Coturnix japonica: one gene and its partner. The protein of the gene in region 1 interacts with the protein of each later gene in a biochemical or structural test. Links are inferred from orthologs where the notes say so. Each region holds a gene or a part of one and is shown on either strand. Other genes may lie near its edges.

What was found.
Region 2: the proteins of SNTG1 (region 1) and PLEKHA1 form a complex in vitro, tested with the Homo sapiens proteins (2 studies listed by BioGRID and IntAct, with this or other methods). The link is inferred for Coturnix japonica from reciprocal best matches to the Homo sapiens genes SNTG1 and PLEKHA1.

Annotation. Positions count from the first base shown.
Region 1 is NC_029517.1:98,330,931-98,335,438, forward strand, and holds the start of SNTG1 (gamma-1-syntrophin), read left to right. Parts: upstream 1-1,686; 5' UTR 1,687-2,116; intron 2,117-4,508. UniProt on the Homo sapiens protein: Adapter protein that binds to and probably organizes the subcellular localization of a variety of proteins. May link various receptors to the actin cytoskeleton and the dystrophin glycoprotein complex.
Region 2 is NC_029521.1:27,852,469-27,856,283, forward strand, and holds part of PLEKHA1 (pleckstrin homology domain-containing family A member 1), read left to right. Parts: intron 1-310; coding exon 311-374; intron 375-1,621; coding exon 1,622-1,711; intron 1,712-2,746; coding exon 2,747-2,821; coding exon of another isoform or gene 2,822-2,851; intron 2,852-3,815. UniProt on the Homo sapiens protein: Binds specifically to phosphatidylinositol 3,4-diphosphate (PtdIns3,4P2), but not to other phosphoinositides. May recruit other proteins to the plasma membrane.

The DNA of each region.
Region 1 (4,508 bases):
TATTTCATACAATCATGTGGCATCAACTTTACAATGTTCGTGTGGTTTGTTAGAGTTCATCTTCAGCACATTCTGACTTCTAACAAAAGTTGTAACTGGCAGTAGTTGTATTGTAACTATGTGCTCTATAAACATGGTAAGAGTTTAAAAGATCTTGCCATGATAATTTTAACACCATTCTCTTGTAAAAATGAATCTTTCTTGCTTACACAGACTTACTCTTCATTGTGACATAGACAAAAGAGATGGGTCTCCAAGAAAGAGGAATTGGAAATCAAGTGTGGGATTGGGTCTAGCAGTTAATGGACTATTTGTATCCACTTGGTTTAAACACTGTGCTCTCAAGGGCTGCGTTGATCTTCTCCACAATGTGTGAGCACAGGGTTACAGTTCTATTTCCGTGTTTGACATGGAAGAGTTTTCAATCAATTACATTTCAGTTATTTCAATTCTCAGACGTGTGTTTAAATTATCCCAGCTCTAATATATGTATTGTTGTAGTCATTTCTTTCCAGTCTTGTCAGGAGAACTGTCAGTTCACACCACTCAATCTTTCAGCAGAGCCACAAAAGGGCAGATAACTTGGTTAGCTCGTAGCTATCAAGAACTCTGTTAACATCAATCAGTATTAAGAAAAGAAGAAAAATAAGGATCTGTATCTCTAGATGAGAACTGAAGTACAAATCTGTTCAATTAGGCATGAAACTTATCACTGCATATTCTCATGCATTTATCAAGTCAACACTTAACTACATTCTTCAGAGCATCTGCATGTAGCTTTCACGAAGCTTTTAAAATCCTTTTCCCTCTCAATGGCTCACTGCACTTTATTGAAGTTAATATTTATAAAAGCGATTCAGAAGGAACACAAACATTTTCGTTTGCACCAGCTCTGTGGAAGAAGAGCACAAGATTCCTAAAGGAATTACAAAGCCTAAGAAACATGTGGAGACTAAAAGGGCGAGCAGAGCAGCTGCGGGAGAACAACGCTTAAGCTCCGTTCACCCGGCTTCCGATTGTGACCACCCTCCGCTCGGCTATAGCGCAACACGTGGATGCGGATAAGGCCACGGCTGCTCTCACCACCCCGCCTGGCAGAGCCCCCCGACGACCTCTTCAGCCCCAAGCCGGGGAGGGGCAGCACCGTGATTCCTCCCCCGCGCCCGCAGCCAGCGCAGAGAGGCGGCTCCCCGGGGTTCCCTTTTTTCTCTCCCGAGGTTTATTTCCCCGCTCTGTGCCGCCTCCGCCCCGCGGTAGCATTGCGCTACGGGGCGCTGTGTGCGGCAGCCGCCCCGCGTTGAGCCCCGAGCAGGGGCCGGGAGCTGACTCCAATGAGCGGGGATGTCGCACCCGGGCCGACAGAGACTCTGTGAGAATCATAAACCCATCACAACACTGAGATAGGGATCGATATGTTTTCTCTCCGGCAAGCGGGCGCTCTGTACCCGCTCAGTAGAAACTGCACGGGAAGTTTGAAGCGGGTGGGAGGAGGGCAGCATCCCTTCTCCGAACACTGCTCCCGGCTTCCACGCGTCCCGGCGAGCTCCAGCTCCGCCACAGGGGACGGCTCGGGGGAGGGCCGCACGTCAGCATCGGTGGGGCGGCGTCACAGAGCGCCCCGGGAGCGGCGGGCGGGGGTCCCGGGCGGGGCCGGCATCGCCGCGGCGGGCTGCGGCCGCGGTGGCGGCGGCGCGCCGCCTCGCCTCTCCTCTCCTCGCTTCGCTTCGCCTGGCCGCTCGCCGCCGCGGAGGGGCGGCGCTGCCTCCCCGTACTCCCCCGCCCGGCGCCCCGCTCCGTCTCCGGGAAGGGCGCGGGGAGCCCCTCGTTGCCCCTCGGCGCAGCGGAGGAGTTGAAGCCGGCGGCGGCAGATCGGTGTGATGCCGTGTTAGCCCCCGGAGGGAAGGAGCACGAGTGGCCGGGGCTGCGGCTGGCATCATGGGCACCGGGCTCGGGGGCGCGGCGGACGGGCTCCCTGCGCGCTCCTAGTGAGCCCGGAGATGTGCCGGCGCCCGGGGGAAATATTTTGGAAATAGCACGGAGCGGTCCGAGGAGGACGAGCGGGGACACCCCGTTTCACCAGCTGAGAGGAGGTCGCCCGGCGGTCGTGTACTGGCAAGTAAGAGCTCCTTTTCTTTCATGTTTTTATTTTAATATATATATGCATATATATTTTTTCCTCCCCGCATCTCGAGTGACTTCTTGCAGCTGTTGGTTGCCTGCACCGGGTTTGGAGTTCAGTCTCCCGGCAGGCTGGGCTGGGCTGCAGGGGAGCGCGGTCCCGCATCCCAAAGGTACGCGCTGCACCGCGGTGCCGGGGGAGCACTGGGTGCGGGGAGCCCGCTTACAGCTGCAACAAATGGTGACTTACAGGAATTAGTGTGAAATGCCTTTTCCTTTCTGCTGGGCTGTAACTCAATTGTAGGAGACTCTTAATTGCTTTCTGGCAGCGGCAGGCTGCGTGTGAGCGTTTCAGATCCTGTCAGGGATTAAGATAGCAAAGCTGGAGTTTTGATTTTGATGCTTTTAACTTTCTGGTGTCCTACCTGGGCATTTCCTCTGAGGTGCTTTTGCTGTGAGGATATGGTTTATTCGGTCTTGTTTGTTTGCTTGCTTTCACCCGTGGCTACCTATTATCGTACTTGGCAGTGCCATGAAACAGAAAGTTGACCGTGACATGTTCAGGATGCAGAGCATGGGCAGCAGGCAGGGGGCTAATTCTGCTCCTGGAGGAACTCCACAGGAACAGGCCCAGGAGTCTGTGATCTCCTGCTAAAACCTCAAAGAGCTCTGAACAGACCTGTCACGCTGCAGAGGACAAACCCTCCTGTTCACTGTTCAGCACAGATAGTGTTTAAGCTAACAACCTGCTTTCCCCTATCTACAAAGCACCTGCCTGTGGAATGCAGGGGATAGAGAAATGATTCCTGTGCCAATTTGGGAGCAGACAGAACTTCAGACTACGTTTAATTAAGTTTGCTGGTATTGATTTCTTTAGCATCTTCTTTCTGAGCCTGAAAACTACAATTCTGTACAGTGACCTTGATGCACGTTCTGTTCGAACACAGGAGTATCACAGAATAAAAGCAGTTATACAGATTTATAGTTCAGCTCTGACACTTCACTAAGAGCTCTGGCAGCGCCAGTTGAACGCAGTAGTTTCAGCAGAGGTATATGGTGTGTGTACAGGCTTGGAGAAATAGCTCACCCACAGGGTAGAAATAAGTTGTGGTCTTAGAAGCTCTTGCAGAAATGTCAGCATGCATGAAACATCTGAGGAGTTTGGGATATTTCTTTTTCTAATCAGAGAGATCTGTAGCAAAAGATGTTTGGGGGCAGTCTTGGAGCTCTTCAGGTTAAGGCACATTGCTTTGCTGACAGGAGCAGATCTTCTAATGGGCTGCAACAGATGTTTTTACATAGATGCTAAGCTAACTGGATTAAAAGCTGTTGACTTGCCAGTAACTAACTCGAGTTTATAGCAGAAAGATAAAGTAAGCCTTTCCGGTAACTGGACGGAGCTCCCTGTGGGTTAGAAGGCAGAAGGGAATGTCATTTGTTTCAGTGCAATTTCAGGATAGCTTTCCTGTGGTTTGTATTTCTAACTGCCTGAAGATACAGTGAAACACAATTAGAATAACTGTTGAAAGATATTGGGACACGAATCAATCCATTACTTTAAACAGCTTCTGCGTCATATCAACAAAGTACAATTTTTAACAAAGTGCTCTTCAGTTTTGTTGTAGTAATTCCTTCCTCTGTTGCAGAGTGGCAGGCTTTCACTAGGCATGTGCAAGGGAGAACACGAAACAGTGAAGAATGCACTGATCTGAATTAATTTGGGCTATGTAATGTAGTGGCGATTTCCACAATTAATATAATTAACTGCTTACAGTTGATTCTATAAATAAGTGGGTTTTAAAAATAGTGTCAGCTTTGTCACTCCTGATACAGATTATGGAGCCCTTTTATTTCTTTTCAGTTCTTCAAATTAATCAAACGCTATACTCGTTCTTTGCCTCAAGAGGAAGAAAACATAATTTACTGATATATCATTTGGCTTTTGCAGTATCTTGCCCAATAGCTATGAGATAATCTAATGAAGGTCCTCGTCACCGAATTAAAGAACATGCTGCTCTAGACTTTCACTTACAGAGAAATTATTGTTACATGGCTGAAGAACCAAGTTTTCACAGAATCTAGTAGAAAAAGGAAACCTTTCTTTTTATGCTGGGGACTTGAAAGGGGGAAGGTAGAACATGAGGTCTTTAAGGATAAAATTACAAAGCAGTGACTTCTAAGATACTGATCAAAACCCTTTATCTTCAGATATTTTCTTTATCTTTGATTTGGAACTTTTCCACATACTTCAGTTTAAATTATGTATAGTTCTTAATTTTAAAAACTAGAGAATGTCCATTGTACCATTTACTGTAAAGCTCTTTCAAGCCTTCTCTCTAATGTGCTTTATCACAGTTTGCTTGTACCTTTTTCAATTAGAGATTTCCAAA
Region 2 (3,815 bases), on another chromosome or scaffold:
ATGTGAAGTCTTGTAGAAATCTGACTAAAACAATATTTATCTAAACTTAATATAATGCAATCTAGGACATTCAGAGTAAAAATATCAAGCAAACACGCATGTTGCTAATGAACTAAGGAGTCTTAAGGCTAAGCTTAATGAGTTGGTGCTCTTCTTTTTCAACTTTTTTTAAAGGAAAAAATATATATAGGGTGGTGAAGAGTGCAGAGGTCTCTAAAGAGCACATGCTTTGGCTCTTTGCACATTCTAGAGTGCTGAAGTGAATTGGAAAAGCTGAACTTCCTGTTGAACTGTCTTCTTTCATTTACAGTGATATAATGATGAGAGACAATCTCTTTGAAATTGTAACTACTTCTCGAACCTTTTATGTACAGGTAATTTCTTTTAAACTTTGGGTAAAACCAAGGGGTTGATGTAGCCAAAGCAAGGAAGCAGTGCCATTTGTCTTATGAAGTTGTGTTTAACTGCACTGTGATTTTCAGAGGGAATACAATTTTCATTATATTTCAGAAGATGGGTGAAAGAGATACTCTAAATCTCAGCAATTGTTGTTAGTGTCTGAAAGCAATGAACAATAAATCCTAATGTGATGTGGTTGGTATTTGTGTCTTCAAATTCTGTGGCATCTACTCAATATACTAAACCTTTAACTTTGAGGGTACTGAATTTTCATTTATAGTAATCAAGTTCTCAGATTAAAATTAGTTGCCACGTGAAAATAGCACAGGAACATCTAGGTTTTGTATCTGAAAGTGCTTTTGGCAGTATCTATCTGTATGCACATTATTTACTGCATCTCTTCCTTATTTTTTTTAAAATTTGATTTAGTGTAAGTTGATTTAGCGTAAATCTCAAAGACTTGCATTGTTTTGCTGTGTGGGAGTGTGATGCTTATAGTGCTATTTCTCCTATTTCTGAAGGAGGAATTCATTTCTAGCTTTCTCTTATAGGATTAGAATGGCTTTTATACAGGTTTTGGAGCCAAATGAGTTGTGAGCAGTCTCACAGCTCAACAGAATCTAATAGACATGTTTCATATGCTTCTTAATGATGTATATGCTAGTTTTAGTCAATATATATGCAACCTAACAGAGGGAGCTTTAGCTTTTTCTTTTGTCTCAGATACATACATATGTTAATCTGTTTCATCTGTGTAAGACTCTTGTTCTACATAAATGTATAGCAGACCCTGAATATAGACTGCTTCTTATTTTGCTGTAGCTCTTCAGTAATTACCTCATAGAAGTGACTGAAAAATGCAGAAGCTGTCATTGTGCAGAGTCCCATGAGGGAGGTCAGCAGATCTCCTGTAAGAATTAACGTGGGTGGTTTAATTTGTTTGTTTGAACTTAGCAAAAAAAAAAATGAATCTAGGATAAGTAAAATAGTGTGTGTGTGTATTTATTTATACACTTGCTGCTTATTACTTTATAGAAGCATATGTATATAAAGGTAAATTAAAGGAAAAATTTTTATGGAATATCAGCTTTAAGAAATACAAGTCCATATGGCTTTAAATAAGAGACCCTTCAAGTAGGATAAGGCTCTGATTTTAATGAGGATGGTCAGCACGCTGGAAAAAGAGCTGCTTGTTAAACATAACCCATGTTATTTGATCCAGGCGGACAGTCCAGAAGACATGCACAGTTGGATAAAAGCAATTTCTGGGGCCATTGTAGCACAGCGGGGACCTGGAAGATCAGCAGCTTCCGTATGTTACTCTGAAACTTAAAGAAATGCAATTAGTTGGTGTTCACTTCTGCACACGAGGTTCTAGATTTTTACTTTTGTCTGTCTTCCATTCTGTCCTGTAGTAACGTGGCATCTTTGCATGAAATTTCCTACGGACTGGCATAAATTATTTTGTGTTCTTAATGAGCACGTAGCTTAGTCTTATCTATATGTTGCTTTATGTGCCTTGTACTGTCTCGAACACGTGGGTCGTGCAAGTGCTGACATAGAAGGATTCGTCTGAGTTCAGTTGGATCTTTTGTTGCTATGCTGCTGTGAGTAAAATCAAACCTTTCTAATTCCTGCGAGGCATTTTTGATATTTGGATAGTGCATTCCAATGACAAAATCTTAACGTGCTTGTAGCAACTCTCGCTACTAGATTATCATTGTCTGTTGCTCGTAGTTCACTGTATATGCAGATACAGATTCCCATTTGAAATACTTTCTGAAGAAATGCCTGCTCGCATGAATTAGATCTTGCTGTTGGAGACGTAGTGTGAACACCATCTAGCATTTCTGAACTGAGGCACTGTGACAGATCTTCATGTTGGTGAAGCTGCGTGGATGACAGCATTTCATCCATGCTTGCATTTAAACTGCGTCACAGTGTCCTCAAGTATGGCCAGATAGAACAAATGGAATACTTTTACAGTTCAGATGCTGCAAGGTATGCTTTTTCACTTTCTGGCTGTGGGATGTTTTGTAATAAGCTGAATATGTCATCACCCCCATCACCTGAAATCCAGTAACTTCAATCTGACACCTGACTACATATTTTTGCATCAATGTTTCTGTCAACAGAGCCAAAGCTGTCAGTTATTTTTGCAGCTGAGAGCTGGCTTTAAATAAAAAATTGCTATGTTAAATCTTGTTACTTTTGGGGGGTATGAAAATACGCAGATAACTTTTCTTTGTGTATGCTGGTTTGTTTCCTTCGTGGGGCTAACTGAGCAACCTCGCTGTTACTGTCTGCATCACTTTTCTTTTTCCCTCTCTTCTTTCCCCAAGTATAGGTTACTCTAATCTTAGCTTTGCACTGTGTTCCAGATGCGGCAGGCCAGAAGGCTGTCGAATCCTTGTATACAGAGGTATACATCAAGAACTGGTGAATGCAGCACGTATGTGGGCTCTCATGGAAACTTGCCTTCTTAACAGAGGGCTTAGAACTAGAGACTAATTTGCGCTATTAAGAAACTAAAAATAATGCTACCTGTTACCATTACTGAAAACTAACTGGTAAATTACATCATTCACTTACAGGCTTGCACTGTATTTTCTTGCTTTTAAAATAATTGGAATCAAAAAGTGACAAAAGCATTTATTTGTACTTCAAACCAGAATATGCATTAAAACACAGTAAATGATGTAATATGATTTGGAAATGAAAGCACAAGAGCTGATTTGCATGAGAGTTCATATTTCCATTTTACTTTACATCTTGTTTTTGGAACTGCGCAAAAGCAAAATTAAACTTCAGCTCCCCACAAACTAATGCAGATGCGTGCACACAAAAAATGCACGTCTTAACTCTGGCAATTGGAAAGATAATAACTGCAGCCTGATCTGCATGGCTTATAAGTGTCTGCATGAAATTTAGTTCAAACGTAGAAGCGCTGTAATGTACGATGGCTGTTCAAAGCAGTACAGCTGGAGAGTAACATAGCAACAAAGTCTTTTAAAGGTGGAGTTAGTCAGTGTGGGTAGTAAAATCCGAGTATCCTTTGGCTGATATAATCAGAAAGCTTTCTGTAGAGGGATCTTGTCCTTGGTTCCCTGATTGCTGTCCTGCGTGTTCATCTGTGAGTAGTGTTAAAAAGAAGGGCAGTAGTAACATACTGAGTCATACAGACTCCTAAAGCAAACATTTGTCTTGAAGTGAACTGTCAAGTCAGGTGTGAAATACAGCAGTGTAATTAATATGTAACACCACTGAATTTGAGCACAAAATTGAAGTCCAAAGATGAATGACTCCTTCATCCTGTGCTATTAATTCATATAAAAAAGAAATATGATGTTATTTAGCAGGATCCATTATGATTACATGTATAAATCACTGTGATAGCATTCTAAAAGAAACTTTGA